Saccharomyces cerevisiae S288C: one gene and its partners. The protein of the gene in region 3 interacts with the protein of the main gene of each other region in a biochemical or structural test. Each region holds a gene or a part of one and is shown on either strand. Other genes may lie near its edges.

Region 1 (9,944 bases), on a different chromosome or scaffold from region 3:
TTGATGAAGGCAATTAGGCATTGGAGGAAAGGAAAGACTACAATCATATTGACGCATGAGTTGAGCCAAATTGAATCTGATGACTATTTATATTTAATGAAGGAAGGTGAAGTTGTTGAAAGCGGCACCCAGTCTGAACTTCTAGCCGATCCGACCACTACATTTAGCACATGGTATCACCTACAGAATGACTACTCTGATGCGAAAACTATTGTAGATACAGAGACTGAAGAAAAATCTATACACACTGTGGAAAGTTTTAACTCTCAATTGGAAACACCAAAACTTGGATCATGCTTAAGTAATCTGGGATATGATGAGACAGATCAGTTGTCCTTTTACGAAGCAATCTATCAAAAAAGATCGAACGTTAGAACAAGAAGGGTTAAAGTTGAAGAGGAAAATATTGGGTATGCACTAAAACAACAAAAGAACACCGAAAGTTCAACAGGGCCACAACTTCTGAGCATTATTCAGATTATCAAAAGAATGATTAAAAGCATAAGATACAAAAAAATTCTAATCTTGGGACTGCTATGTTCTCTTATCGCAGGCGCCACAAATCCCGTCTTTTCATACACATTCAGTTTCTTACTAGAAGGAATTGTCCCATCCACGGATGGAAAAACTGGCTCTTCACATTATTTGGCGAAATGGTCGCTTCTTGTTCTTGGTGTGGCTGCGGCAGATGGTATTTTCAATTTTGCTAAAGGATTCCTATTAGATTGCTGCAGTGAATACTGGGTTATGGATCTTAGAAATGAAGTTATGGAAAAACTGACGAGAAAGAATATGGACTGGTTTTCTGGTGAAAACAACAAGGCTTCTGAAATTTCTGCTCTAGTCTTGAATGATTTGCGAGATTTGAGGTCTTTGGTCTCTGAATTTTTGAGTGCAATGACTAGTTTCGTTACCGTATCAACGATTGGACTAATTTGGGCGTTAGTATCGGGCTGGAAGTTAAGTTTGGTTTGTATTTCGATGTTTCCACTCATAATTATATTTTCAGCAATATATGGAGGCATTTTACAAAAATGCGAAACAGATTATAAGACATCTGTTGCTCAGTTAGAAAACTGCCTGTACCAGATTGTCACTAACATTAAAACCATTAAGTGCTTACAAGCTGAATTTCATTTTCAATTGACCTACCATGACTTGAAGATAAAAATGCAACAAATTGCCTCCAAACGCGCCATTGCCACAGGATTTGGTATATCTATGACAAACATGATTGTCATGTGTATCCAAGCTATTATTTACTACTATGGCCTAAAGCTGGTTATGATTCACGAGTACACCTCAAAGGAAATGTTTACGACTTTCACTTTGTTATTATTCACTATTATGTCATGCACTAGCCTAGTAAGTCAGATACCCGATATAAGTAGAGGCCAACGTGCTGCCAGTTGGATCTATAGGATTCTTGATGAAAAGCATAATACCCTAGAGGTTGAAAACAATAATGCTAGAACAGTGGGAATAGCTGGTCACACCTACCATGGCAAAGAAAAAAAACCAATCGTTTCAATTCAAAATTTGACATTTGCCTATCCATCTGCACCTACCGCCTTTGTTTACAAAAACATGAATTTTGACATGTTTTGCGGACAGACGTTAGGTATCATTGGTGAATCAGGCACAGGAAAGTCTACACTTGTGCTTTTATTAACAAAACTTTATAATTGTGAAGTAGGCAAAATTAAAATAGACGGTACGGACGTAAATGACTGGAATTTGACAAGTTTAAGAAAAGAAATTTCAGTGGTTGAGCAAAAACCTTTATTATTCAATGGAACCATCAGAGATAACCTAACTTATGGTTTACAAGATGAAATACTTGAAATTGAAATGTATGATGCATTAAAATACGTAGGAATCCATGACTTTGTAATTTCATCACCTCAGGGCTTGGATACACGTATTGATACAACTTTACTGTCAGGTGGACAAGCGCAAAGGCTTTGCATAGCCAGAGCACTTCTGAGAAAATCAAAAATTCTGATTTTAGATGAGTGTACTTCAGCCTTGGATTCTGTCAGCTCCTCTATCATCAATGAGATCGTCAAAAAAGGTCCACCTGCTCTACTAACAATGGTTATAACGCATAGTGAACAAATGATGAGGTCTTGTAACTCGATTGCAGTTCTTAAAGATGGTAAAGTGGTTGAGCGAGGTAACTTCGACACTTTATATAATAATCGCGGGGAATTATTCCAAATTGTTTCCAACCAAAGCAGTTAAACCCAAAGAAAATATAAAACAAAAAACTAAAACATACTCAAATATTCGAGACTACATTAATAATAATAATAATAATAATAATAATAAGTTTTTACCAAAGAAAAAGTTGTCAAAAGTCATACATATATATATACATATTTAATGTATATATTTAATTTATTTTTTTATTTTGGTTAATTAGTTACTCATAGATGAATGGTAATGAAAGGAACTTCAACATCCTCTCCTTCCTTGTCATCTGCGCAAATTTCGAGAATCATTGTAGATACATGTGCCGGAATATCTTTCTTAGTCACTAATTTAACCAATTGAGTTATTGGTAGATTTAGTCTTTCTTTCAATTTCTTTGGAGGGAAAAATGAGGCATAAAGAAGAGAAACGCCATAAGAAAGCATTGTTATTTCTAACCCTTCATCTTTTTCAAAATGTTCAATTAAATCACTTAATTTAATATCTCCCTTGATATCAAATCTATCCCAAATTTTATCATATTTCTTGTTGTTATATTCTCCCTTTGGTGAAGCAATTGGTTCCGAAAAACCGAAAAATGGCAAAGCTAAATTAACAAAGCCATTCTTATATTGCTCAATATCTGTCTTGTTGTCAATCAGTTTATATAATTCCAAATTGACCAAACCAGTAACCAAAGAAGTGGTTGTTGCGATGGCAGGAATAATACGGCCAGCTATGAATTTGGTCTTTTGGCGATCAGCAGTTTCGATGAAGTAGTTTTGAGCTCTACAGTTAGAACAAGCCGTTATAAATTCAATATGATGATTAGTGTCATCGTCTTTCTCGAAATCTACAGGCTCCAGTTTAAAGCCAGCCAAAGTAGAAGGATCTGGTAGGGATGATACCAGCTGATCAATTTCATCTGAGCCATTAGCCGCGTTGGCATTTGGATCCGGATCATCGTCATTAACTTGAATTTTCAAATTGGCATTTGGAGTAAATTCTGGAATTATCATATGATCGATGACGGACTTATACTCGTCCACGTTGGGTTTAGAATTAGAGTCATCACTTTTAATACCATAATTATAAGCGCGTAAACTAGCACCTGCTACGACAAAATGGAAGTGATCGTTATTGTAAATATCAAACTCTAATGGTGTTGGAGCACGCTTAGCACCGGACCAAAATGGTTCACCGTTGGAAGTCTTGGCATCCTTGGGGAAGTTGAACAGTAACTGCTTGATATCATGGTTGAATTTTTTTTCAAATTCTAACCTTGCCCATTTGATACAATCTTCAAAATTGTGTGGTTTACTAGATAGAGAATCTGAGATGGATTCTAGAACTCCCTTGACATCCCCGCTTTGCTTTAGTGTTTGCTCAACGAAATTCGGTTGTGTCAAGTACATATTAACGTTTTCGGCGGAATCAGTGAAGTAACCTTGGAAAAGAGATTTGGCCCAGGCAATGGTGTGATCAATCTTGTTTGGGAAAGAACGTAGGGTACACAATGGGATAGACTTTTCTGGTGGGTCTCTAGAAGAAGAGTATGATTCAGTCAATCTTGGAATGATGACTTGAGTATTACCTTTAGTACCTAGGGTACCAGATTCTAACAGTGGTTTTCTATAAAACACACAACGGCGATCTACGTATGTTCTTGCGTCGACATTGTCTAGAGCGTTGGTGACAAAATCCAGGCTTTCCCAAAAGGAGTCATTAAATATTTCCTCAGTTTCTGGCCCCACTTTATCAATTTTAGCATTTATCTTGCCCTTCAAATCGGGGTTCATAGCACAAACGGCCTCTGCCGCTACTTCAGATTTGTTCTTTCCGACATCCTTTGGTCTAAACAAGAACTGACGGTTTAAGTTGGACTTTTCGATCGAATCGTTATCCGTAACAACGATGTAACCGTCGGAGCCAGAACCAAGCCCCAAAAGTGCCCAATTTTTCAACATCTCACAACCAATGGCACCAGATCCGACAAGAAAGACCTTTGAATTGGCAATCTTTTTCTGAAAATCCAAACCGAAAACCGCGATTTGATTATCGTAACGAGAGTTTACTGGCTGAGTAGTCTTCTCATTTCTTGGGAAGTTTTTAGGATCTGGCAATGATTCCAAGGAATCAAAGTACATAAATTGCTTTAGCGGAGTAAATTTACCAGAACATGCTTTTAACACTTCTTGTGCCACAAGGCCACCGAAAAATGCTACGACACCCGGTATGTCACCTCTTGCCTGATAGGAAAGCTCTTTGATTAAATCTTCATTAACATCTACACCTTCACCCAGAACCTCCGGTTGCTGAACGGACAAATCGGTGACCAACTTGATTAATTCATTGGCGTCTTCGTCATTCATTGTTCTTGGCAGTTCACCATTATGTCTAACGGCAAACTGATGTAAAGCCTGAAATCCCAAATGCAATTGAGCAGCTCTGTCAAATTTAGCAAAATCCGAAAAAACAAACTCAGGATTGGACAGTTGTTGTTTCAAAGACTTGAATGAGATTTTACGGGGTACTTTGACTTCGGTGAAGATACCGCCCTTCTTATACTCGCCATATTCTTTGACTGAACCAATTCTGAATGCAAAGGGCCCCAAAACCTCAACTTTAAAAAGGGTCCCATCATTCAACTTATCAAGACCTTCTACTTCGGAGAACCTGACAAAATTTCCGTCTTCCAACCCGTGTCTGTTATCATCTAGCATGGTCACTGTTCCATCGGGCTCGATGTCTGAAACCATACCAGTGCGAGGTTCTTCACCCGTTGGGTCCAACACTGTGAACTCGTCACCTAGGTCTACGAAGGTGTTACCAAACAGCCCTCTTGTCTCCGAGGAAATGAATCTAATACCGGAGGAATGGCAAAATTCGTTGATTTTCACCTTATCTTCCAAAGAAACAGTGTCCGTAGCGACAACGACCTGGAATTGACTCAATTGGGTAACATCGTCTAAGGAATCCAGCACATTAACCGGGACATATGCGTTCAACTCTGCCAATTTGGCTCTGGTCACATCTCCTCTCTTTTGACCAATATCCTTTTCGGTCAAAAAGAATTGGGTTGATAAGTCTGCCAATTGAACCGGCTCAGGGTCAAAAACGGTCATAGATTTGACACCTGCCAACACAACGTTCTTCGCTATCTCAACACCTAGCCCCTTCAAGCCGAGAATTAATACGTTGGAGGTTTGCATTTTCAACATTGCTTCCTTACCCAACACATAAAGTTGACGAGAATAAAGACTTTCATCGATTTCTCCGGCGGCAGAGAGACCACTATTATTGCTGCTCATAGCTATAGTTATATGTTCTTTGCTTTGCTACTAATCTTACTTTTTGTTTGCTTATATCCAGCGATTGGCGGTTGCTCATCCTACTTAAAGGCCCTTTTTGATCATTTTCTTTTACCTTTATTTGCCACCCGCACCTTTTGTCACACTACACGAGAATATGCCGCATGGAAGCGTAATGGCAATTCAAGAAAGAGCTCTAATATTATTTACAATCACATGAATACAAGATCATAGCTTAACAAGGAGTGGATAGTCAGTAAAGGCGCCCTAAGCTCTACTAAAAACTGGGCTTTAAAAGATGTTCCTCGTCACTTGAGAATCTGTTGTCCCTATCTGGTTCCTCATCATACAATCCACTCCATCGTTTCTCCCACCCTACTACAAACTAGTGAGGCGAACGAGAAAATAAGAAACACTAAGGCTCGCTTTTCCTGCTGGACAGAGACATGCATTAGTGTTTGTTGTTCTCGCGCCAGTCGCTGTTTTTGCTTGCAAGTGCGACGTCCTCTTCTTCTTCTTCTTCTTTCTTCTTTGAGATGCGTAACAACACAACTACATTTTGTATTTTCCTCCCTTTTATACTCCTCCGCTGGAGTATTTTTTCGTATTTTTCACTTTTTTTGCTTCTTATAGGCCTTTTTGAACTATTTTCTGTTAGGGCTTAAAGAAAGCGCAGCAAATGGCTGATTTTAAATGCTGTTTTCTCGAAAGCAATGCTGATGATGTACCACAAAGTAGTATTTGCGCTTAGCTTGTCGATATAAGTATGCCTTTGAGCCAGTATTAAACTTCCTACTATCTCTTCTGGACCTCACCGTGCTATTCATATCACTGACGACGGAAAATGCCTCTTGTAGTAATCATTGAATGATCATCAATGGCTCGTTGACTCATTCTAATCTATAGCAGATATTAAGGTACGCAAAAAGTTCGACAAGGAGCTGGTCAGTATTAACACATTACCAAATCTGTTTGGTTCTACATAGAACGCCATAAAAGTAAGAAAAAAATGTCTGTGCACGCTGCAACAAACCCAATCAATAAGCATGTGGTTCTAATTGACAACTACGATTCCTTTACCTGGAACGTTTACGAGTACTTGTGCCAGGAGGGCGCCAAAGTGAGCGTCTACCGTAACGATGCAATTACAGTTCCAGAAATTGCCGCCTTGAATCCCGACACATTGCTTATCTCGCCTGGACCAGGCCACCCAAAGACAGATTCTGGCATTTCAAGAGACTGTATCCGGTACTTTACTGGGAAAATTCCTGTATTTGGAATCTGTATGGGCCAGCAATGCATGTTTGACGTATTTGGTGGTGAAGTTGCCTACGCTGGTGAGATTGTCCACGGTAAAACGTCCCCAATCTCTCACGACAACTGTGGAATTTTCAAGAACGTGCCGCAAGGTATTGCTGTGACAAGATACCATTCATTGGCCGGGACAGAATCGTCCCTACCATCCTGCTTGAAGGTTACTGCGAGTACCGAAAATGGAATTATCATGGGTGTAAGACACAAGAAGTACACTGTAGAAGGTGTGCAATTTCATCCGGAATCCATCTTGACCGAGGAAGGTCATCTGATGATCAGGAACATTTTAAACGTCAGTGGAGGCACTTGGGAGGAAAACAAATCATCTCCTTCAAATTCTATTTTGGACCGTATCTATGCTCGGCGTAAAATAGACGTCAATGAGCAGTCTAAAATCCCAGGTTTCACCTTTCAAGACTTACAATCTAACTATGATTTAGGTCTTGCCCCACCGTTACAGGATTTCTACACGGTGTTGTCATCATCCCATAAAAGAGCCGTTGTTCTTGCTGAAGTCAAGCGTGCCTCTCCATCGAAGGGACCCATTTGTTTAAAAGCTGTTGCTGCTGAACAGGCTCTCAAATACGCAGAGGCTGGTGCATCCGCAATTTCCGTATTGACCGAACCTCATTGGTTTCACGGTTCGTTACAGGATTTAGTAAATGTGAGGAAAATCCTAGATTTGAAATTTCCTCCCAAGGAGAGGCCTTGTGTTTTGAGAAAAGAATTTATTTTCAGCAAGTATCAAATACTAGAAGCAAGATTAGCTGGAGCTGACACTGTCCTTCTTATAGTCAAGATGCTATCTCAACCCTTATTGAAGGAACTGTACAGCTACAGTAAAGATTTGAACATGGAACCTCTCGTTGAGGTGAACTCCAAAGAGGAATTACAAAGGGCTCTAGAAATTGGTGCTAAAGTTGTAGGTGTCAATAATAGGGACCTGCATTCATTCAACGTAGACCTAAATACCACCAGTAACTTGGTAGAATCTATTCCAAAGGATGTTCTTCTAATTGCTCTATCGGGAATTACCACCAGGGACGATGCTGAAAAATACAAAAAAGAAGGTGTCCATGGATTTTTAGTGGGTGAAGCCCTAATGAAATCAACCGATGTGAAGAAGTTCATTCATGAATTATGCGAATAATTGAAACTTACACGGTACAATAGGGAAAAAAACTTAACGTTGTAAGGGCGAACGCCTTCATGTATAGTAGCCTATAGAAGATATATATATATATATATATATATATATATGACCATGAAAGATAAAGTAAAAAAGAAAATAAATAGCTTGTTCTTCCCTCTGGGGCCGGCGTTCATTTTTTTATTTTTTTATTTTTTAACTTACTTTTTTTCTCGTTTTTATCATATTTTCGGTTTTACGTTTTGGATTTACAATAATCATCATTTTATCACATATAGAACTCATTAATCTCTTTTTAAAGGATCCGGCTTGGAAAATTTAGGACTCTGTGCATATTTCAAACCTTTGAATTGTTGTTCTTTATCATGCGTTTGATGAACGACCAAGAACCCAACGTCTACTAACTTAGGCCAGTTGACAAACTGAATACCGTTCTTAAACATGAATTTGGTTGAAAGCGCCAAGACAATCGACGCACCTGCAAAATACAGCAAATTCTTACTGCTGGTAAATCTATCTTTAGGAAAAAATATCGTAGCACCTAAAACGGTCAAGGCTGCGCAAATGATCATTGGGATCAGCTGAATATACACTGGTCTTCTGTCGGGGAATGGCGACTTGATAGAAGCGGTATGTGGTCTAAATCCACCAAGGAATAAATCGTATGAATCCTGTCTTGGACCATCAGTCCAATTGTTCTGGTAATAACGTGATGCTGAATTCAAAAAATCGTTGAATGCACCTAGACGTGTACGCTTACCGGTTCTTGTGAAATCGGTCTTCAAAGCTCCAGTGCCCGAATATGCCACACTAACTGCATCTGCATTATCAGCCCATAAGTTTTGGTAAGAAGTTAACAATGGAGCGTTGTCTTCCCAAGTGCTTCCAGTAGCAACGACATCGGCACTTTCAAACTCCTTTTGCAAAACCCACTGGGCTAAAACAGATTGAACGACATTTGTTCTGTCCAAACAATCCATACAGTTTGTTCTTACAACGGAATGTTGCTCATTAACAATTTCAACGGTGTTACCATTAGAGTCTATGACCTTGTGGAAGAAATCTTCGTTAGATAAACCTAATTTCTCCAGGTGATCAATTAACAATTTCACTCTATGCCATTGCATCTTACGACATTCATGGTGGAAGTCAAAATACACGTAGTGAATCTTCGGATCGTTTAGCGCGTGCACGACTGATTCATAGCCCTCTTTCACGGGTAGTTCGTGGCCCTTTTGGTTGACTAGGTTAACCAAGTAGTTGTCGCCATATAACTCCTTTTGCTGGTCAAAATGCTTTTTTGTCGCATCTAATGAGTTTTCTCCAAGAACAAGATTTGGCTTGTACTTCAAGTTGTTGATTTCAGCCCAGTATATTGGCACAGATCCTCTTGTCTGTAAGAAGGAGAAAACGTGTATTTTTTCACTCTCTGGATTCTCAGCGAGTAAAATTTGCTCAGTTTCATTGAAATTGCCAACGTTACCGTCTTTGTCAACACCACGACGGAAGTATCTTGTGCCCGCCCTAAATATACTACGTCTGGTAATCAAACCAAGAACGATAGGGGTGGCATTCAAAACGGCGTCCACTGTCTTGGCATACCCATAGATAACAGGTTGTATAAAGGAGTCAATTCTAGGATCTTGATGAGCAAAGTTTCTCAAATCTTCAGTTAAGTAATGGTTCCAAAAGAATCGTTCATCAGCGGTTTTCCAGGAGGCTGCAGGACCAACCTTTTCATTTCTTTGTAAGGAATTTGTTAAATCATATGTGTATGAAAAATAAAAGGTGGAATTTTTCAAATGCAACTCCAGTAGCTTGATATATTCGGCTTCTTCAGAATCGATTCTCGAGTTAAACTTGGTAGATACGATAGAATGTTGCAACACTCTATAGAAAACGTGGCCATTGAATCTACCGGTCTCTTCCACAGTATTTGCGATAATGGCATACCTGTTCAACTTTAGCTTAATGAA
Region 2 (9,303 bases), on a different chromosome or scaffold from region 3:
ATAACGTTCATCCTTGCATTTCTTTCTCGTTGCTTTTGCTTCCTTTTTTCAGCTTTATTTGTAATATTCAATCTGGTAAAATTATCTTCTTCGAATGAAGTGACTCTACGTTCCTTCTCTGTGTCTCTCAAAGATTTGATACCGCCTCTTCCATGGTTCACAATGTCAGCACCAATAGATGCACTCCAGTCCGGTTGGTCCGATGACTCTCTAATATATTCTTCCATGGCTTGCATACGCGATTTGTTACTACGATCTTTGTGTTCTCTGGCATCGAATCTATCTTCAAAATGCGTTTGTTGCGGTGGTAGAACAGCCGTAATCTTTGGTGGTTTATACACGCCAGTCTCATTGTCATCGTTTTCTTCCCCGTTTTCTTGCTTAGCCGTTTCCTCCACCCTGTATGCTGATGATTTTTTATTTGTGTTGATAATTCCAGAGGTATTTGGCCTGTATGCTATTTCATCCTCACTAGACTCATCATCTTCGCTATCGTCGTTGCCGCTATGATTCACTAAGGTAGATTTTTCCAGTGCACGCTTCTCAGCGTCTTTATATTCCTTTTCCATTTTCACATATGCTCTAGTCAGCTTGTCCAATTGGTAAGCCAACTTTTTTTCTAGTGGTTTAACACCACGCTCTAATACCACACGGTGTTGAATAGAGCGTTCACGTGCATCCATAGCAGAAGGATCTTTGCACTCGTCGTCTAGCCTATTGCCTATAAGCATCAATAGAGAATTTATGTACCCTAGCATGCTCCCATTTTTTAAGGATAGCAGCGATACTTTCTCAGCAGGCTTCTTAGCGTCGTAAAATAGATGCTCATGTAGTTGGTTACTTTCAGGAATCTCATCGGTCGCAGAATTACTATAAATCCCAGACAACCTCTCCAAGGATTCTGATGTCGCAGTGAGCGAGCCGTTGATATCTTTTAATAATGCATTAAGTTCAGACATTCTTGGATTTGTGTGTTAGTTGACAATTTTAATTTCTTCATCTCTTTTGACACTTTAGAATGGTATAGCTCATCGGTTTCTTTTCTTCAACCTTGCAGGAAAGGCGTAAAAAATTTTATGTCGTCGGCAACGGTTCTAGTAACAATCCGATGAAAAATTTTCCGGACAGCGATGAGATGCACTTTTAAGACAATTGAATGGATTAGGTATCAGTTAGAGAAGAACTTGGTTTTCGTATCTGGCGTTTTTATCTTTAGTCAGTAGTCAGTCTCGTATCAATACTGATATATACAACGAAACAATGCCTCAAAACGATTATATCGAGCGTCACATCAAACAGCATGGTAAAAGATTAGATCACGAAGAAAGGAAACGTAAGAGAGAGGCAAGAGAGTCTCATAAGATTTCTGAACGGGCCCAGAAGTTGACTGGTTGGAAGGGTAAGCAATTTGCTAAGAAGAGATATGCTGAAAAGGTATCAATGAGAAAGAAGATTAAGGCACATGAACAATCTAAGGTCAAGGGTTCATCCAAACCATTGGATACCGATGGTGATGCTTTGCCGACATATCTATTGGACAGAGAACAAAATAACACAGCCAAAGCTATTTCTTCATCGATCAAACAAAAGAGGTTGGAAAAAGCTGATAAGTTTTCAGTTCCGTTACCAAAGGTTCGTGGTATAAGTGAAGAAGAAATGTTCAAAGTTATTAAAACAGGTAAATCTAGATCCAAGTCATGGAAGAGAATGATAACGAAACACACTTTTGTGGGTGAAGGTTTCACTAGAAGACCAGTTAAAATGGAAAGAATCATCAGACCAAGTGCGTTGAGACAGAAAAAGGCAAACGTCACTCATCCGGAATTAGGTGTAACTGTCTTCTTGCCAATTTTGGCAGTTAAGAAGAATCCACAATCTCCAATGTACACTCAGTTAGGTGTTTTGACTAAAGGTACCATTATTGAAGTTAACGTTTCGGAATTGGGGATGGTTACTGCTGGTGGTAAAGTTGTCTGGGGTAAGTATGCTCAGGTCACAAACGAACCAGACAGAGACGGCTGTGTCAATGCGGTTTTGCTTGTATGAGCAAAAAAGTGCTCCGTTTTTTTTTTTTTTATCTCGATGGTTCAAATTAGGTTTACTTTTAATTTAATAATACGATATACGTCTACAAGCACAAAAGAACAGGTATATAAAAAATGTACGCTCTGTCCTGTTCGGGTTTCTCTTTTTACTTCTCGTCATTCTCTGTACAATATAACAAATCAAGAATTTATTATCCGGTTCTTTTTTCCTCACGACAAATAACCGATACTCTCCGTGTGTAGGTGACTGGCAAGAGAGGGATTGCCTAGTACGCTCGTTTCAAGTATGTACCTCACGAGAGCAATTTCAACTGTAGTATAATACCCAGGTCACTATTCAGTTTTAAAATGCAAGAAAATTAAAAAACAAAAAACGTATGGTTGTAAAAAGCAGGGCACATTATATGTATATAAATAAAAAAAAAAATTAATAAAATCTAAAAAGAGGATATAAAAAATAAGAGGCGTAAGGCAATATAAATTATTGGTATCATGCTCCTTTTGAAAAGGAAAACCTCCTCTTATGGCGAACTTGAAAAGAACTTTGCGTAATCATCAAAAAAAGCACTTCACGTTTTCCTGCATTTTCTTTGCTGCTTTCCATGTTGCTGTAAAAACAACAATGATTAATCATTTCATGAGCAACTCAGATAAAATTAACAAAAAAGAGTTTTCTCTTTACTATTGTTAGCTGAAATATAAAACAAGATGATTGAGGCAGAAAGAATGTTGGGAAAACGGACACCATAAATAAAAAAAAAATTGGTGCGGAATAATCATTCTTGACCAAACCCTATGGTTTCTTCCACGGCCAATGTTAGCTTCTGTTTCATGCTGTCATAATCAACGTATTGTGGCAAATCAACTCTGTTAAAACATGTGTGAGATTTTGGCAATTGTTGTACTTCACCAGCTTTTTCAATAGTGAATCTTCTTGGACCATCAGAGCCTTGCAAATCTTTAAACCCGTTGACAGGTATACGAGAAGTACCAGTGGTGAACTGCAATAAACGGGCTCTTTGTTCATTATCCCATTCACTGACACACTTCCAAAACCATTGAATGACCTCGTCTGACTCTTGGTAACCACGATAATCAGTGTGTTTCTTCCAATCTTCAATGTCAATTTCCGCAATACCACCGATCAATAGTTCTAGTTCACGCTCATCAAACACAGTTACTAAGTCTTCGGGGATTAATTCGTTAAAACCATCCATGAATGCCTTAAATTGTTCTTGAACTCTATCAACAATTCTCCATTGGGTATATAATTCGACATATTCTTTCTTATTACCATCAGTAACTTCAATATTTCTCCCATCTGGCTTCAAATCCACTGTTACAACTTCACCGAATCTTTCATCGTCGGCACTGAACGTCAGATCCAAGACACCATCTATACTATTCTCAAGCATCCAGTTTAATGAGTTATACACCTCTGCGTCAACACCTTCCATATCTTGCAATACGACTTTTTTACGTAGCATCATTTTGTAAAGTGCACCTACAAAGAATGCATCCAAAAATCTTCTATGGAAAACACCAAGACCCACAACTCTACCAATGAATTTGAAATAGTTCAAATGTTCGGGGTTGATGCCACTGTTAGGATTTATTTGAATGGTATAGTTGTCATACGCAGAATATTCAAACAAACAATAAAATGGATTAAACATCTCATGTGATAATAAAAAGAAAAATTCTCTGGAAACACCACCGTAATCTAAACCTTCCTCACCATCAAACTTGATCATTAATCTTTTCTTTAAATCTTCTGGGGTTTGTCTCATAATTTCTTGATAAGCATCCTCAAAAATGTTCTTTCTACGTACTTTAATATGACATTGTCCCGGCAATATTCTAAGAGCGGGCTGGGACCTGAAATAAATAACCTTACGTCTGAAGTCACGCTTGTATTGTGGAACATTTTGGTCTAGCGATGATGGAAGTCTTGGGTCATCCCAGGTCGTTGTTTTTGTATTGTGGTCAACGAAATATACACGTGCCGTATTGGTCAATCTCATTTCCCATCCAGAAGGCAAAGGACCTAATTGGGAGACCGGTTGTTGCTGAATGGTGGTATTTGTAGGGCCATAAGTACGTATATACTGTTGTCTCCTTGGATCCACCCAAGTGGTTGTTCTAGTATTATGGTCAACGAAATAAGCTCTTCCTTCTGGAGTAAATCGCTGCTCCCAGCCTGAAGGTAATTCGCCTAAACCAGATGTGGTACCACCTGTAGCTGCAAACGCTGCTGCTGCTGCACCATTAACAGGAGGTATATTGGAACCACCTCCCACTTGAACTGTTACAGAGGAATTATCTGATGATCCACCAGGTAAAGTTCTTCCCCTATGCTGCCTTCTCTCTAACTCAGTATTTGCATTTAATTGGTTGCCACGTTCGGCTTCTGTTTGATCGAGCGTTGGACGTTTCCAAGTGGTAGTCCTTGTGTTATGATCGACGTAATATGTACGACCAAAGTTATCGGTCCTTCTCTCCCAACCAGGGGGTAAACGACCATACTGGTCTTCAAACGAAGAGTATTGTCTGGTAGCACTGGATGTGGAATTGGTGGAACGGTGACTGGTTGTTGCCGTATTAGTAGCAGCTGTTGTACCGCTTTGAAGAGTTGATTCTACTGCTTGCGCGGTGCCTCTGGAAGGATGAGACGTTGAATGATTACGGGTGGAGGAAGTAGAATGACCATTTGTTCGAGTAGTTGAACTTGTATTCGTACTAGAAGATGCAGTATGGCCAGAAGGAGCTTGTGAATGCGGACTTGACGAAGGTAGTTTTGATAAAACAACAATCAACCTACCGCTGACGGCCATTCCGTCATTAGATTTTTTTAAATCACGAGTAATAGTTTCTTCGCGAGGTCTACCACTCGATGTAGCAGTATCTTCATCCAAATGGCCCAAAACATCACCCACGCGGACGTTAACCACGCCAAGAAACCCTTGATCCTTCTTTTTAAATTTCTTTTGATCAAAGACTTGGATGGTTAAAATAGAATTTTCATTGATATCGTCGAATTTGAAAGTCTCATTCCAGTAGGGATTTAACGTTTTCTTCGCTGCGGATGTAGATTTGGTTTGGTAACCATCAATAGTCAGAACAGCAAACGGATCCGGGGAACGGAATACGTCCCTCTTATATAATGACTCTGCAGCCACTAACTTGACGGATATGGATGAAGGCATTTTTTTTCTTTTTTCTTTCCTTTCTGTTACTTTAAATATAATACCCAAGCTAACAAAGAAAAGGGAATAAGAAAAGGGGAAAATAGTTTTTGGTAAATTTATCGAACTAAAAACGCACTAAGAAAAAGCTGTGGCTTATGAAAGTGAAAGTCGAATAACACTATATTCGGTAGTTCCAACTAAAAGGTACTTACACACAAAAACAAGCAATTATTTCCTGCTGTTTTATTTGCTACGCACTCACTCTTCTAAAGAAGGACTGAACTGAAATTTTGACTCACTTGCAAAATGTGCTTCACGAATTATAGTAACAAGTCCAAAACTGTGGAAAAAACTGACAGCGCTTATTATCTTATAATCGTTTTTGTTTAACGAAAAAGTCGACTCTTGTAGCTCTAACGAAGAAAATGGAAAACAGCCTCAAAACACAACAAAGTCCTTTTATCAATTAGCAGATGCGATACTCGAGTACCCTAAAAATGGTTAAGCGTATGTCTTTTAATTGTCGAGATAGAAGCCCCCTCCCCCGCCAGCAAAAAATATTACCTTTCACCATGAAGATCACTGCAATTTGGTCTTTACCAAAAATTTCCACTAAATTTTTGTTTTTTCCCCTTTCTCGTATAATGTCATTATGTACGTAAGATCACATGATCGTATACTGTCACGTGACTGTGCGGCTGGTCTGCGCCAGCAATTTTTTTTTTCTGCTCTCAAATGTAAACAAACCAGCAGTCTGTTTTCTAAACAAATAAACATTAAAAGGTAAACAATACCAAATAATAATAGCAGCGTCAAAGCTACATTCTCAGTTCTCAAAGCTATTGTGTTGATTTCTATGTATGATTCAATGCCGGCATGATGTTAAATTTGCTGGTTTACTGAATAAGGCTTGGTTCATAACCAATTTGTAGTCATGACGACATAGCTGGGTGGGTGCTTACTGGTTTACATAAATAAGTGCGTAAACGTTTTACAATATATAAAAAGGTAGAAATATCTCTCCCAAGCTTTCCTCAAACTATCTTTTGGCTTCTTCTTCTTGCATGACTTCCAAATTTTAATCTGTGTTTGCTAAAAAATTTGATTGTAGGTGTGATAGTGAGAGTGACACGTATTAATATTATGCAAGATACCAAATACTACGAACCAACAAATATTTTTCGTCAGCCTGCTATTAATATAAAGAAGAGATCAGATAAAAAGAGGATTTTACAATCGATGATGACTTTATCCACATACAAAAAAACGTGGCAAAACAATACTTCGAAAATGAATTCACCGATTTTGCGAAAAGCATCAGACAACTTCAATGACTATTATACAACTAAAAAATTAAAATCAGATTATTGGAAACTGTACGGTGTTGATGAAAGTGAGTTATCCATACCTTCAGACATGTCCATTGTGGATAATATACTTCTAGTATCTACAATGAACGAGAAAGACAACTTGAAACTTTTTGAAATTTCCGCTGAGAAAAAGCTGAAGGAACTACAGACGATTACTGTTCCCGGTAAACCCATTACTTGTATCTGCTTATTGCCCATGGTAGATTTTCCGCCACAGATTTTCCCCAGCTCTCAAATAAATCCTAACCACAACCAATTAATATTGACAGGTCATCAAGACGGTATAGTCAATCTGATAGCAACTTCAACATATAAGGGATGTGCTAAAATAATAAAAAGGTTTAACCACAACAAGTTTCTAAAATCTACCGTATCAACGTCGATTCCGATTCTGGAAATAACGCCAAAAACAGCACCTATTTTGAAGGTTTCGCCATGGAACAAGACCGGTTTTGTTTCCCTTCTAAATGACTCCCTCTTTATATATGACTTGAAATCAAATCTTGATTGCATAAAAACACCTATTTTTTTGCAATCATATCCAGGTATAAATTCTTTTGCCGTTAATGAATTCCATGATCCCTTCTTACTGGCCTTAGTTGGCTCAAAATTTGGACCAAATGGCATCTCGCTGCTTGATTTGAGAACAAATCTCTATATTCCAGATATTTTAGATAATAGCATATCTGCAGGATGTGGAAAAGACCATTTGCAAAGAAAGAACACAAGTTTGGATTGCGTATGGATAAGTAATCATCACGTTGCACAGAGCTTGAACGATAAAATTCAAATTTGGGACATTCAATCCTGCGACGGTAAACCAGTTTGTGAATTATATGCTAAGAAAGGATACATTGAAAGTCTAAAATTTAACGAAAACACAGGCGCGTTATATAGCAGTGATGACCAAGGCTTTGTCATTTGTTGGGATTTACAAAACCTACAAAACATGAAATATGGTGAGTTAGTCCATGGATTTAACTCAATTAGCCTAGATAGTGAAAGTGAACTACTATTAACCAAGCAAGTCTTCCAATGTGGAAACATTATTGTGAGTGGTATGAGTGATAAAAATATTTGCTTGAAGAGCAATGACACTAAGGCCAATGGAAAAGGATGTGGATTTTTATTCCTTGATATGGCAAACGATGGAAGTTTAGTAACTCTTGACAATTTTTGTGAACTGGGATTACATCAAATTTGTCAAGTTCAATTCAATGTCGATACCGGTAAAATAATCGATGGTAATGGTACTGGGAAGAGTGGAATATCTGATTCTTCTATGTTATCATTATCCAATGAGAGTGACCATAGTATGACAGAAACATCTGATGATATGTTCTCAAATTCTGGTAATTGGGATTGTTCTTCAGCAAATACTGTTAGCGAAGGTAGATTGAATGATGACCAAGAGGATATCGTCTTCACAAAGAGGATGTATTCTGTAAATGATGTGCATTTAAGTGGATCTACTATTGATACTACTGTTGTCTAGTTTCCTTGAGTGCTTTCAAATAAAAACAAATAACATATCAATGAATCAAAGTAACATTTCTTTGAAGATAATTTCTTTGTCTGTCACTCAGAATGCCCTTTATTACTAACGACCATCCTCCTTGATGAAGGTGAAAATCAATAAAATTCAAATTGTGACCCAAGTCCAGTCAGTGGATCCTTCTGGTAACACAAGTATTCGGTTTTTTTTTTTTCTCCATGATCTGTATGTTTTACTAAGCTTTGAATTTTTCTTACACAATGTATATATATATATATGTGTGTGTATATCAAAACAGCGCGCGTAATTGTATGTAGCATTTAGAATCAAGTTCAATGCCGAAATTTGTTATGGTTGCCTACGTTTTTTTGGCTTCTTAATTTAATATCAAAATCTTCACGATATGCATTCATTCTCAAGTTTGTAATTGTGCATTTTTTTATATATAGTCCCGCTCTCAAGTGAATTAGAAAAGTAAAGTATACACGCAAAACAAGGGCGTAAATAAAAGAAAACGAAAAAGCAACTAAATAAAAGCTTACATCCAAGTATCAAAGAAGTCGCTCACGGTTTCTCCAATTCTTGAACCTTGATTAATCATAAATTACATATTATTTTGGATATTCTTAAAAAAATGCTATAATAGTGCTTGAAGATAGATTTAGCACACCAAAAACATACCGGGATTAATATATATGTGCGTGTAGTCTTTTGATAAAGGAATATACAGAAGGAAAACGATTACGATGCTGACTATGTCTCATTTTCTTCTTTTTCCTGTTTCTTTACCCTCTCCGGAATTCAATTATTGTAGATGATAAAATAAAGGGTAACAGAGAGAAAGAGAAACAAAATAATACATTATTGGAAAGTCATAAATTGGGAAAGAGCGGCATAAGGAAACAGCCAATCAAAAAAAAAAAGGAAAAAGAGAAAAGTATAAAAATCGCTTTATCAACAGCAACAAAAACAGCAACAACAATATTTGTATATTTTAGAACAAAATGTATCATTCTCGTCATCAGAATAAGCATCATTTTCTTGTTCGTAATTTCGTTGACTTTGATAATTGATATTCTTATTTGCAAGGTTTGTGTAGTGGTTTGGTAAGTTGTGCTCATTATTACTTCTTTTAGGGTTAGCTTTAGAACTTGAATATGGTACAAATGGTGAATTTTGTGTATGACTGATGGAGTCGTACGTTT
Region 3 (7,204 bases):
AGTTGATGCTTTCTCGCATCCGACAGATGAGGATTGTTAAAATAAAGTTCAATTGCATCTGAAACATTTTGATCGGTTCTTGAACGACCATACAATTTGTTTATAAAGATATAATCACTGTCTGCTTCTTCTTCGTAATATTCGAGCGAAAGCTGATTCAGCACAGAGGGATTTTTCTGTATTTTCATGCCACATATCCTGAAACCCAAAGATCCTGAAGTCGTCGTCTCACTGACTCTTTTCATTCTCTCTCTTTTTTCCAATGATGCCTTCGAATCATACAAAGTTTTGCCTAATTTTATATCAAGTATATTAGGTTTACTAAATCCATATAGTAGATTTTCTAAAACGAGGTATTGCTTGGACTTCTCAGACTTTACAGGTATTGAATCAAGATTATCAGTGGAATCACTTAACCGCTCATCTATCTTCAGAAGCGCAGCATCGCCACTTTGCTCGATTTTTGCCCCTTCATTCAAGACTCCAAGATACGTGGGCATCCAAGAGCACAAGGGAGCATCTCCATCAGCCGAAGACTTTCTTCGACTCACATCTCTCACTTGTATGGCTTTGTAGAATTCCAGTTCCTGCGGAAAGGCCGGTTTAAAGATGAGCAATCCATCACCGTCTGTTAGAGTACCGTCGTGGCCAGCAGCTTTATGCTCTAAAACCCTATAATTGTTTACCGTATCCATGTGAAAAAAATTTCTACTTAGGCACACGTATGCACATATCCATGTAAGCTACTAATGGAAATTGTTTAACTGATTACTGGTAAAAAAGGGATCTCCAATGGCTTTATCTTATTCCATTTTGTCCCACCATTTGTATACAGTATAAAGACATTTTGGTGAGATACTTAGTTACCCAGCCTACTTCTGAGAAATATTACCCGACTCGATTATCTACCAATTGGCTTCGAGAACGTGGTTTTTCACCATTTTTTTTCCCGCTTTTTTTTTTCATCCGACCGTTGTGGCGGAGAGAAGCTTCCGGAAGGGAATTCACTCAGATTCTCTCCAGTACCACGGGGGGCAACTCTGCCTGGAACACTCTCTTCCTTCAAGAACTTAGCAAGAAGTACCAATTAGTCCCAGCGGGCCCTCAGGGCTGGTCTACTGCCTTATACTCTAGGATGTACATCCTACCACACACAACAAGCCTGTCACACCATGACTACAGATCCTTCTGTCAAATTGAAGTCCGCCAAAGACTCCCTCGTCTCCTCCCTCTTCGAGTTATCAAAAGCTGCTAATCAGACAGCCTCCTCTATTGTTGATTTCTACAATGCCATCGGCGACGATGAAGAAGAGAAGATAGAGGCTTTCACCACTTTGACTGAGTCTTTGCAAACATTGACTTCTGGTGTAAACCACTTGCACGGCATCAGCTCGGAGCTGGTTAACCCTATTGATGATGATAAAGATGCTATTATCGCTGCTCCAGTCAAGGCTGTAAGAAGAAAGATCGAACGTGATCCAAATGCTCCAAAGAAGCCACTGACTGTTTTCTTTGCTTACTCTGCGTACGTTCGTCAAGAACTTCGTGAAGACAGACAAAAGGCTGGCTTGCCACCTTTATCCTCAACTGAGATTACTCAAGAAATCTCCAAGAAATGGAAGGAATTGAGTGATAACGAAAAAGAAAAATGGAAGCAGGCTTACAACGTCGAGTTGGAGAATTACCAAAGAGAGAAATCCAAATACTTAGAAGCAAAGAAAAACGGTACCCTACCACCAGCTTCCTTGGAAAACGGTCCAACTCATGCGCCGGTTCCAATTCCTTTCAGTTTACAGCACGCCGCTGAACCTCCTGTGGAAAAGAGACCTCACGATGATGATGGATCTTCGGAAAAGAAGAAGAAGAAGAAGAAGAAGGATAAGAAGAAGGACAAATCCAACTCTTCTATTTGATGGACGGACAAACTCGTTACTATTACTCTACTGTCTTTCTAAAATAAATATAATAATAAAAAAAGGAATAAAATATAGCAGCATGGGCTTGCTTTGCCCATAGTGTATGCACATATATATATATATATATGTATCTATCCCTCTCCTCTTGTAACAGTATATCTTCCTTTTCATTTTCGTTGTGTATATGTATGTATATAGTTCTAAATTTGCGATTATACCTTTTCAAACCTCTCAATGTTGTATTGTGCTAAAACTATGTACATTTTAGAGAAAAAGAAGGAAGCAAAACAAATACATAATATATACAGGGGGGCCGTTCTTTTTGTTTTTGAACATGTATTAAAGAGTGCTCAATAATTGATCTACAATATCAAATTTCTTCTTTGGTGCATCTTCAGGGCGTTTCCAGTGTTCAGGAAACTCATAATCCCGCTTCTTTTTACGTAAACTCTTAGCTATAGTATGCCTTGTGTCAAGGGGAACATCGCTAAAATCGTCCTCCGTCAAATCTTTTGACTCCGCTAACAGCCTTTGAAGAATATCATGCAAATAACGTGCATTTTGTGATGCATGCTCAAATTTGTCACTAGACATTTTAAAAATATCTGTAGTATGATCATAACGCGACCTGGCTAATATTCTGAACTTATGTAATGATTTTTCCTCCAGGCCCAATTCCTTGGTTTTAACGCTTAATACAACCTTCCTCGAATTGGGATGCTCTTCGCCAACATAACTAGTGTATCTATAAGTGACCGGATGACTTTCTGGAGATGGTCTCTTGTATTCCTGGCGATATTGAGCTAATAGCGGTAACTCATATGCGGCTAATCGATTATAGAACCTTTGTTCACGATGTTGGGCAACCAATTCCTGAGCTTGCGATGGCAATTCATCAAACATAAACGGTCTAAGACTGTTATCGCGATTCACGTTTCCACCTTTTATATCAATAGCGCCTTGTTCTCCTCTGTGATATAGCTTTTTAATATCGTTAACAGGTACATTTGAGTACTCAGAAGTGGTTAATAAGGCATTCAGTTCGTCTTTGTTAGGTTTATACTCTGAACCCAATCTAGCCATTCTCTCCCAATATAACTCTAAAATTCTTTGAGGAGGTAAACCCTTCCATTTTTCGGGATGCATATAGAGATCTGCTGAAAAAGCTGGTCCTTCTCTCACAGTTTTAGCTTCATTACCAGCATCACTGTTCAAACATCTAGACATTGTCAAAACCCTTTTCTGGGTGCTCCACAAATTACCCCGAGAGACTTTCCATAACCCCAATGGTACTTTCATCTTCCTAAGAATAGTATTTTAGTAGTGTCAAATGTTTCGGTAACTCTACTGCCTTGTTCACAGATCGAAATATACTCAGAATCAGTTACAGAAAAGGTCCCATTTAGCGTAATTTCTTAGCGGAACTCATTAAAGAGCTCCGACGTGCAACGCGATAAAGGTTCGCCGACGACAACAAAACAATGGCAGGCAGTCATTAAATGAACGCCATCAAATGAAATATTCGTGGTAGCGATTACAATAAGGAAGTTGGAAAAACATAACAAAGACGGAGCGACGAGAAGTATTGGACAGGACATATGCCTAGACATGGAAGAAGAGGAAAACTGCCAAAAGGCGAGAAACTTCCTAAAAAGGAGGGAGGCGACAATACTCCGTCAAAGCTTTTATCGTCAATGCTTAAAACTTTAGATTTGACCTTCGAGCGTGATATTGGAATGCTCAATGGCAAAAGTGTTAGGTCCATACCCAATAAAAAAACTTTACTTGAATTGCAAAGTCAATTGGATAGTCTCAATGAAATACTGGGTACAATTGCCCGAGGTGATCAAGAGACCATTGAAGCGCTTCGGAAAATAAGAGACAGTAAAAATGAGAAGCAAGCAAACGATGAAAAGCAGGAAACTTCAAATGCAGACGGGCAGCACGAAAGTTCTACTGCTACTGAAGAAACGAATATAATTGATAAAGGGGTACAAAGCCCACCAAAACCTCCTCCTTCTAATGAAATCTCCGGCACAATTGAGAACGATGTAGAAAGCATCAAACAAGCGGCTGATAATATGGCTAAAGAAGAAATTAATGAAGACAAAGATTTACAAGTTCATAGAGATCAACCCAGAGAAAAGAGGCCGTTCGATTCTGAAACTGAAAATAGGGCCACTGAAAATGAAAACACACAGAGGCCAGACAATAAGAAGCAAAAAATTGACGTTGACAAAATGGAAAACGATCCAACTGTTAAAAATCCAAAATCAGAATTTGTAGTATCGCAAACGTTACCTCGAGCAGCAGCAGCACTCGGCTTATTCAATGAAGAGGGACTAGAAAGTACAGGAGAAGACTTCCTAAAAAAAAAATACAATGTAGCTAGTTATCCAACAAATGATTTGAAAGATCTGTTACCAGGTGAATTACCGGATATGGACTTTTCGCATCCTAAACCAACCAACCAAATTCAATTCAATACCTTTCTAGCATTTGTGGAAAATTTTTTCAAAGATCTTAGTGATGACAACTTAAAGTTTTTGAAGATGAAATATATTATACCCGATAGCTTGCAATTTGACAAAACTTATGACCCTGAGGTAAACCCGTTTATTATACCGAAACTAGGCCCTTTATACACAGATGTTTGGTTCAAAGATGAAAACGACAAAAATTCTGCCTATAAAAAACCTTCACCATATTCAAACGATGCATCTACTATACTACCAAAAAAAAGTGCCAACGAACTTGATGATAATGCTTTGGAATCGGGCAGTATATCGTGTGGGCCCTTATTATCTAGGCTGTTGAGTGCTGTATTAAAAGATGACAATGACAAATCAGAATTGCAATCTTCTAAAATAATACGGGATGGCGGACTACCGAGAACCGGAGGGGAAGACGATATACAATCGTTTAGAAACAACAACAATGATACTGTAGACATGACATTATCTCAGGAGAACGGGCCCAGTGTTCAAACACCTGACAATGACATTGATGAGGAAGCATCTTTCCAAGCAAAACTGGCAGAAAATAAAGGCAGTAATGGCGGTACTACAAGTACGTTACCCCAACAAATTGGGTGGATAACAAATGGAATTAACCTGGACTATCCAACATTCGAAGAACGATTGAAAAGAGAACTAAAGTATGTAGGGATATACATGAATTTGCCTAAGGATGAGAACAACCCTAACTCAGATGACCCCGATTGGGTCACCGGTAGAGAAGACGACGAAATAAGCGCAGAGTTAAGAGAATTGCAAGGCACTTTAAAACAAGTGACCAAGAAAAACCAAAAGAGGAAAGCCCAATTGATTCCACTAGTGGAAAGACAACTAGCATGGCAGGAATACTCATCTATTTTAGAAGATTTAGACAAACAAATCGACCAGGCTTATGTCAAACGTATTCGCGTACCCAAGAAAAGAAAGAAGCATCATACAGCAGCTTCAAATAATGTGAACACAGGAACCACGTCTCAAATAGCACAACAAAAGGCTGCAAACTCAAGTTTAAAATCCCTTCTGGATAAAAGGCAAAGGTGGATTAATAAGATTGGTCCATTGTTTGATAAACCTGAAATTATGAAGAGAATCCCCAATGAAAGCGTATTCAAGGACATGGACCAAGAAGAAGATGAGGATGAAGCCGATGTATTTGCACAAAACACTAATAAGGACGTGGAACTAAATTAAAATATACGAACTCTAAGGAAAAATACGTAGCATAATAACGCATATAACTAACAATTTGGATAACTATCCATAAAAAAAAAAAAATAGTCACATAATACGAACATTAATATCCTTTTTTGTTACATTTTCTTCCATCTGAAATATTTGGAGGGGCAAAAACAATGAGATGACAGTTGAATGCATGAACTTCCGATCGCGGGCGTATAGGTAAAGTCAATTGAAGCAAGTGTGACGACATAAGTATCGTAATTTAGTGGTTGGATACATTAAAAAAAACAAGTGGTATATATATAAGTAGTAGTAGTAAGAAGTAAGCGATGTCTAGGGCTAAGAGAATTATGAAAGAAATCCAAGCTGTGAAGGATGATCCTGCAGCTCACATTACTCTTGAATTTGTGAGTGAATCTGATATCCACCATTTAAAAGGCACATTTTTGGGCCCACCTGGAACACCTTACGAGGGTGGCAAATTTGTCGTGGATATCGAAGTACCTATGGAGTATCCATTCAAACCACCAAAGATGCAGTTCGACACAAAAGTATACCATCCAAATATATCATCAGTGACAGGTGCCATTTGTTTAGATATTCTTAAGAATGCATGGTCGCCAGTGATAACACTAAAGTCTGCATTGATTTCGCTACAGGCGCTACTACAATCTCCAGAGCCTAACGATCCTCAAGATGCAGAAGTAGCACAACACTATTTACGGGATAGAGAATCTTTTAATAAGACTGCTGCACTATGGACGAGGTTATACGCCAGTGAAACTTCCAATGGTCAAAAAGGCAATGTAGAGGAGTCTGATTTATATGGGATTGACCACGATCTGATTGACGAGTTTGAATCTCAAGGTTTTGAAAAGGACAAGATTGTGGAAGTGTTGAGACGATTAGGCGTCAAGTCCTTAGACCCCAATGACAACAACACAGCCAACCGTATCATCGAGGAATTGTTGAAGTGAATAGATAAAAAAAAAACGCACCAAGTAAGTAAGTAAATAAAGAATAAATAAACTATATGAGTAAAACACCAAGCGAGGATGTTTCATTGTGCATCCGTGTTCTTGATGATCACATAACTGTAAAAGAATAATACGGCACGTTAAATGTTATTTTAGAATATATAAACACCTTATGTGCCATAAGCATTGAGCCAATCGCTGCTGTTTTTTTTATTCCGGGGCACCTTCGGAAGAACACAGGCGCAATTTAGTTATATAAGGAGAAGCCCTCGAGCGATCAGGGGACCGACTGCGGATCGCTTTAAGGCAAAGATAGAAGGATAAATATCTGCTTTGGAAGATAGTCGTATCTAATTTCCCATTCTGTTGTTTTCTTGATCTTTCCTACGCTTTCGACTTTCTTCCTACGCGCTTTATAATAGCTATGATGTTGCCAAGATCCATGAAATTTATGACTGGAAGGAGAATTTTCCATACTGCCACAGTAAGGGCCTTCCAGTCTACCGCTAAGAAGAGCTTAACTATCCCATTTTTGCCCGTATTACCCCAGAAACCAGGTGGTGTTAGGGGCACTCCCAATGATGCCTACGTCCCCCCCCCTGAGAATAAATTAGAG
Region 4 (6,960 bases), 380 kb from region 3:
TTTATTTCTTGAATTTGAGATTCTAAGCCACCAATATCACTGTATGATTCTGTTGGCGACTTATCCATTTTCATGACCGAAACCATTGGATCGGCGTCATCCTGTAAAACACCTACGATGGACATGGTTTTATGATGCAATAACACAGAACATCCAGGCTCTAGTAACTCTTTATCGACAAAGGATAAGATAGATACATAATAATCAGGCATAGTTGGACTTGTCACTATCGCATGATCATCGTCTATAATTTCTTCAAGGGTCCCAATGCTCAATGGATTTCCACGTATTTCTTCCAATTGTTTCTTTTCCTCCTCCTGCTTCTTTTCAAAGGGTTTTAAAATTTCAGAGTTAGAGACAAATTCTTCTTCTAATAACAAATGGTCTTTAATTCGTTCCATCCTTAGAAGCTTTAACTTACAACGAGTACTTGGATATATGTTGGGTAATTTTTCAGCAGTAGCTGGACCTCCCTTTCTTTTCTTACGACCAAATTTAGATTGAACGGGAGGTTCATATTTGGGTTTCTGATTAGATCCCTTCTTCTTCTTTTTGTCTTGTCCAGATGATACACCTTGTCCCATTTTATTTTCTATTAAAAACGCTGTCTCTTCTTTAACTTGAATTGACTGTAAGCTTGACACTGATACGCATCATATTCACTAATATTCACATTAACCTTCTTTTAGGTAAAAGAAAAGAGACATTTGCCACCGGAGAAAAACCGTTAATAACTCGTTACCCGGAGTGATAAAAATATTGGGAATATAAAAATGACGACAACTGCAGGACTCGAACCTGCGCGGGCAAAGCCCAAAAGATTTCTAATCTTTCGCCTTAACCACTCGGCCAAGTTGCCTTACTAATGATGAATTATTGACTTAAGATATATCCCAAACCTAGGAATATGTAAACCTGCTGGAATATTATTTGTTAGAATAAAAATCAACTATTCTCTCTCAACTAGTAGTCTTACTACGAGTATATTATAATGTACAATGTTAGATGATGACATAAGGTATGAGAAACTGTCATAGAAGTTAGAGGAAGCTGTATTCTGTATACATAATATTATTGCCTTTATTAACAATGGAATTCCAACAATTATCACTTGTTGATAGTTAGAGGTAAAAAATAGTATTAATGAAGAAATAAGTATTGATCTTCTTATACTAAATAAGAGAGGTATATAAAACACACGCCGATTGGTCATATTAATCATGACCAATATAATAGTGATTCCGGTAGTTACTATACATTGATGTGACGACTCATATTCCTCATATATGTACCTACCATATCATGTTCAATTAATAGATCTTTAGCACAGCTTCAGTATTGTCTGAGCTTCTCGTTTAACATTCCTTCTGCAATAGGTGCAATCACACTTAAACGTATACGAGGTGTACATTAATATACGGTGTAAGCATTAGATTGTTACCATAGCAACTCATGTCACTATTAATTACTCTCGTTCCAACATCACTAAATTCCCGTAATTACCACCGCAAAAGAAAAAAGAATACAAGAAATGGAAAACTAGCGCATAATTTTGTTTCTTTCTTTTTCAAAGTTGCAGCCGCTACTATTGATTCGTTTGAAAATAGCACTTGGCGGCTAAACTACCGGCATAGAAAGTGGATCGGGCAAAATTAAAAGGGAAAGAGCGACGGGGTTACGGGACCATTACATAAAAAAAGTATCACAAAATCTATTGTATGCAAAGATATAAACCATCACATTATTGAAATAATATCGTTCTTGATACTTCCATAATCCAAGAAAAATATTTCAAGCACTTTCTTGATGTTCCTTCCTATAATTTTTCACACCATCCTAACCCTCCTGAACTTTGGTAAATATTACTGTTTACCTATTCAAGAAGACGATGATAAATCAGGAAAAGAAATTGAACAAATTTTAGACAATAACATCGAGTCATTAGGACTACTACTAAATTCGATGTCCTTATCCTCGAACTTTACGACAGGCGATCCTGAACTAGATTCGCTCTTCCAAGATGATTTAATCCCCGAGTTATATAGTGTATTAGATGGCTTCTAACACCAAGTATGTGTATTCTAAGGGTATACAAAATAAATACTGCGATACTATTCAATTCTTCAACAGCAGCTTACTAGATGTAAAATTAGTTACTTCAATTTATACTGTCACTTTTGCATATTTTCAATAGAATAAAATTACCGACGTCTGCCTATTTCTTCCATTGATGGATATATTTCTTTCTCTATCTCATTGCTTGTTACAACACCAAAAGTTTTGCTAAGAATGTGTATAGGAAACAAAAGCCAGAAGTCATTTCGTTCCAAGCCTTTAAGCGCCTAATAGTGAACTTTGCACCGCATACGTTAGCTTATGGTATGTGTGGTAATGTGTGAATTGTTTGTGATATGTAAAAAAAAAAAAAAAAAGGCCACGCTCAAGCACACAATGAAATAAAATTTAAATTTCGGGGCCATTCTACCGTTGGTTTTGCTATCTGCCGGAAAGAGGAAGTCCACAAGTGCCAAAAACTGTCAGTTACATTTTAAAAATAATCGAAATTTATTTTCTTTTGCTATCTCGGTTAAATATTGATGTGTGATTTGGCATAGTTGGCCATTGTCTTATGATTTCTGATTCTACGACGTTCCAATTTTTTATAATCAGTTCAATAATAATAATACATCGATCGGTCGGTCATATTCTTTTCTTTCTTTTTCTGTCAAGGCGTTACTGACGCGACACACAAGCGGCAGGTATAGTGACGTTTTCCGTTGAATGAAGTAATTCTAATGAACCTACGGTTCTCAATAGCATTGGCAGAGGCAGCTGATAAATGTACAGTAGTTTTTACCAGGAAATCCAGCGAGTATTACACATCCGTAGACGCGCTATGTTTTTCCTCAGGTTATCTTTCAGTAATGCTTGAGATCTCTAAAGGAAGTATACACAGTAATAGTGTGACCCAAAAGTTGTTAAAATTTCCGGAGGTAGCCATTATATACCAATTTTTGTATAAATTTACAGGATTAGAAGGTACCTAAAAAACTATAACATGTCAAGAAAGGCCTCTGAGAAGTGAAACAATACTTCCAAGCACAAATATATATTAATAGAATAATGACTGCTTGGTAGTTGAGAGATTACATGTATTGCATAGTGACTGAAAAAATTTAGTATAATTGCTATGTTGCTAGCACAGTGTTAGAATAGGGGCAGATCATTTGTATCATATAATGGGGTATGGAGAACAGGTACCAATTGGGCATATTGAATATTTCGAATATGATGTTATCTCCAAGAATGTACATCATGTCCATTGTGACATTTCATGGTTTTATATATGGGGTTTCTGCATTTTTCAACAAACATCTCTTTTATAAGCTTTGCGCTAGTTATGGTATTTATTTTTCAAATTAATAACTTACAAATAAACAAAACTTTCTCAACTAAATATTTATTTCTTCCCTGTAGACTGTAAAAATTTCGGAAGCAAAAATAAACCTCCCTGAATGTTAAAGGTGATTATTAGGTGAATAATTTGATAATTGTTGCAATTCCACTGTTTGTAAATTCTATAGTATTATGTATACAGAATACAGCTTCCTTTAACTTCGACGACAATTTCTCATAACCTTATGTCATCATCTAATACCGTACATGATAACACACTATAAGAATTGAGAAACAGTCATCAGATGAGATGGAAGCTGCAAATGCAAGCATTGAAAATATAATAAATAACGAATGATAACAAAAAATGTGGGGAAGAAAAAACAACATTACCATGTATGATTCTTGCTTCCCTCTTGTAGTATCCTCTATCTTGTAAGAGACGTTGTGATATACTGAATACCCAGTAATATTCCCGCTATCTAGAATGAAAATTGTTGGAATTGAACTCTAATATCATCTATTTAATATTATATTATCACATGCGGTGTAAGAAGATGACATAAAGATTGAGAAACAGTCATCCGATCTAATGGAAGCTGAAATGCAAGGATTGATAATGTAATAGGATAATGAATGACAACGCATAAAAGGAAAGAAGATAAAATAATAACATTATGTAGAACTATCGATTCCCTTTTGTGGATTCCTATATCCTCGAGGAGAACTTCTAGTATATTCTGTATACCAATATTATAGCCTTTAGCAACAATGGAATCCCAACAATTATCTAACAACTCACATATTTCTCAAAAATAACACAATTTTATGAAAGTTCACATAATTGAGTTAGAGCTTGAAATACTCTAACTTACAATCAAATGAACACAAATCAGAAGCTTCTATGGCCAAGTTGGTAAGGCGCCACACTAGTAATGTGGAGATCATCGGTTCAAATCCGATTGGAAGCATATTTTTATGTATTCTAAGTATGCAACGATACCGCTGTCATCGTTAGCATGATTAGTACACTGTTGTTCTTTTTCAATCTAACAACCTTAACTTCAGTTCCGGCTACAGTACATCTATTCAACGATTGGAAAAGAAAATTTTTTTATCTTTAGCTGCAACAAGAAAAAATCAATATTAAATTTTCATTTAAGTATACAGAATGTTAACAGCGTTCACAAGAAAAGAACCGTATGGAAATATAGCTAATTGTGATTTCTAAGTTTCTTTTTTATCGTAACAAAAAGTCTTCGTCCAGGATGGTATCAACTTGCTGTCTACCGATTGGGTTATCGGTGTTTTGCCTTATTGGTTCATCAAAGTCCACAAACTCTTCTGCGACGCCCTCCTCTATCATTTCTTCTCTTCTTCTTGAAACTATTTCAACGAACTTTTGGACATGAGCGTCATTAATTGCTAGACCCTTCTGTAGCTGGAAAGTTTGCCTACACATCGGACACAGTCCTTTTGAGGTTGGTGTATCAAGCCAACGGTATATACAATGATCATGGAAGTTATGATGACATAGCCCAATCACTAAAGGGCATTGATCGCCTGGAAATTTACAGCTTGGACAGGTACCGTTATAACTGGCACGACAGATACCACAGACATCCTCGTCTTCATCATTGCCAATTGGATCGTTATTGGCTGCGTCCTCATCAGATGTGCTAGGGATGTGCCATGACCAAGCAAACACACTGTGCACTTCGTTTATTTTAACTTTCATATTTTTATAATCTGTATTGCCACTTTGCTTGTTAAACTCTCCCGATATTGTACAAAGTTTTTGAAGAATGCATTATTTTTTTATCTGCAGACACGGAAGATACAAAAGTTATCTCGGCAGCTTACCCTTTATATCGAATGCAGGCGTAGACAAAAGTGCGTTGCATAACTTACCAAGGTGAAGTGCATGGACCAGCAAAGGATAGAAGTTATTGTAAACATCGAAACCATAAACTTATATATGTATATATGAAGGCATTAAGCGTTTTATGTTTTCACAACCCTTTTAAGAGATGTCTTGGACAAAAAAGCTTCTTCGTTGGTGATAGCTTCTTTATTCCAACTCCGAAACGCCTTGTGCTAGGAAAACTACGCCTTTCCAACTACACTGCATTTCACGACCTAATCATTCACGACCTCTTTATTTATATATTTATTCTTAATTTTTTCTTCTTTCCTTTTTGTAACAATTTCAATTATTGGAAGGTTTTTCACGTTGCTCAACCGAGAATTTACCATCACTCCAGACTTGTAATGATTCTAAAAGTTTCCCTTGAGTGTGCAGTTTCTTGATTTCTTCATTACCTCCTCTTGATACTCCATTAACCAAAAGGTTTGGAACAGTTCCTCTACCGGTCACCAACTTGATATATTCTTGCAGCTCTTCCCCATGTCCATGTTTGTCAAGTTCTATAATATAGTAGTTTGGGATAAACTGATACTCATTTTCAAGCAGTTCCTTCATGCCCTTGCTATATGAACAGGTGCTTTTACTAAATATTATAATCGGAGACAAGTCTAGTATGAGGGAGTATTCTTTTTGAACATTAAAAGCTTTGGTTATTCGCGACCCTTTATCGTTTTTAATGGCCGACAAACTATCATCAACCGATGCTATGGGCTGTTGGAGTCCCACCTTCTGTTTTATTTCATTAATTTCTTCGTCTACTTCAGAGCTCCCCTTATTCGTGGTAGAAGTCGGCATAGCAGCATATTCCCTGGAAGATCCTCCAGCCATATTGTCCATATTAGTACTAAATGCTTTAGAAGTTTCCTCTTTTATCTCTACCGTCAAGAAGTTCGCATTTTGCGCTACGAAAAACACTAACAACAATAATAGCGTTGTAATGCTTAAAATTCTAGCATTTCTCTTATTGGAAGGTATCATAATAAAATTGTTTCTATATTAAACCGCTAGGTTGCTAAGGTTTCGTCTTTTCTATCTTACGATAATTTGCTTAAAAGTTCATTTAGAGAATAGATAGTGATCTTTCCCAGTATAATGTTTTCCCGATTTCGCGAACGCTCCGCCTCAGGCGCCCCGGGACGCGTCATGCGCGTTCCAGAAAGTTAACTAACTGCTAGTGCATTCAATTTCTCAAGGCGTAGTATTTGGGATCTATAAAGCCTTCGACATTAAGCACTATGCTTAAAAGCGAACAGCCTGCGCCACTACTTAAGAGCGAATCTTGTGTGGAGGGATGACTAGGTCCAAAGAGGGAGAAAAGGATCTTGCGGAAAAGTCAACAACACTAATCGGTAGCTGAGTCTGTCAGTGCATCCTTACTGGCTTACTATTTTCATTCATGCTGCAAGTAGATTATCCTCTAGTTAAATTAAACGCGGATGAACTACGCCATTAAATCCATCATAAGAAACTAATTACTACTTTTAGGAAATTAGCCAACTAAAAACTGCTGAAACGCCACATTTCACATAAAACCCCACGGAGCAGTAATGGGAGATCTTAAGCTCAGCCCAGTACATATGTCCATCAGCCTTGAATAGCCACGGTGAGTTCTCGAAGCTTCCTTCCACCTAGTCCAG

Evidence for each region.
Region 1: of the proteins of UBC1 (region 3) and UBA1, one has a biochemical effect on the other in vitro, tested with the Saccharomyces cerevisiae proteins (5 studies listed by BioGRID, with this or other methods).
Region 2: the proteins of UBC1 (region 3) and RSP5 form a complex in vitro, tested with the Saccharomyces cerevisiae proteins (10 studies listed by BioGRID).
Region 4: the proteins of UBC1 (region 3) and APC11 form a complex in vitro, tested with the Saccharomyces cerevisiae proteins (3 studies listed by BioGRID).

The regions. Positions count from the first base shown.
Region 1 is NC_001143.9:34,723-44,666, reverse strand, and holds UBA1 (E1 ubiquitin-activating protein UBA1), read right to left. Parts: upstream 5,505-9,944; coding exon 2,430-5,504; downstream 1-2,429. Other genes in the region: ATP-binding cassette a-factor transporter STE6, read left to right, coding at 1-2,244; TRP3 (bifunctional anthranilate synthase/indole-3-glycerol-phosphate synthase), read left to right, coding at 6,514-7,968; phosphatidylinositol-3-phosphatase SAC1, read right to left, coding at 8,253-9,944.
Region 2 is NC_001137.3:406,137-415,439, reverse strand, and holds RSP5 (NEDD4 family E3 ubiquitin-protein ligase), read right to left. Parts: upstream 5,252-9,303; coding exon 2,822-5,251; downstream 1-2,821. Other genes in the region: small subunit rRNA maturation protein LCP5, read right to left, coding at 1-959; rRNA-processing protein NSA2, read left to right, coding at 1,261-2,046; DSE1 (Dse1p), read left to right, coding at 6,377-8,098; casein kinase YCK3, read right to left, coding at 9,053-9,303. UniProt on the Saccharomyces cerevisiae protein: E3 ubiquitin-protein ligase which accepts ubiquitin from an E2 ubiquitin-conjugating enzyme in the form of a thioester and then directly transfers the ubiquitin to targeted substrates.
Region 3 is NC_001136.10:810,938-818,141, forward strand, and holds UBC1 (E2 ubiquitin-conjugating protein UBC1), read left to right. Parts: upstream 1-5,940; coding exon 5,941-6,588; downstream 6,589-7,204. Other genes in the region: ARG82 (inositol polyphosphate multikinase), read right to left, coding at 1-695; HMO1 (Hmo1p), read left to right, coding at 1,173-1,913; mitochondrial 37S ribosomal protein mS35 RSM24, read right to left, coding at 2,256-3,215; histone acetyltransferase NGG1, read left to right, coding at 3,515-5,623; succinate dehydrogenase membrane anchor subunit SDH4, read left to right, coding at 7,013-7,204.
Region 4 is NC_001136.10:431,671-438,630, reverse strand, and holds APC11 (anaphase promoting complex subunit 11), read right to left. Parts: upstream 5,135-6,960; coding exon 4,637-5,134; downstream 1-4,636. Other genes in the region: proteasome regulatory particle base subunit RPT2, read right to left, coding at 1-584; YDL007C-A (uncharacterized protein), read left to right, coding at 1,807-2,064; YDL009C (uncharacterized protein), read left to right, coding at 5,383-5,706; glutathione-disulfide reductase GRX6, read right to left, coding at 5,606-6,301. UniProt on the Saccharomyces cerevisiae protein: Probably catalytic subunit of the anaphase promoting complex/cyclosome (APC/C), a cell cycle-regulated E3 ubiquitin-protein ligase complex that controls progression through mitosis and the G1 phase of the cell cycle.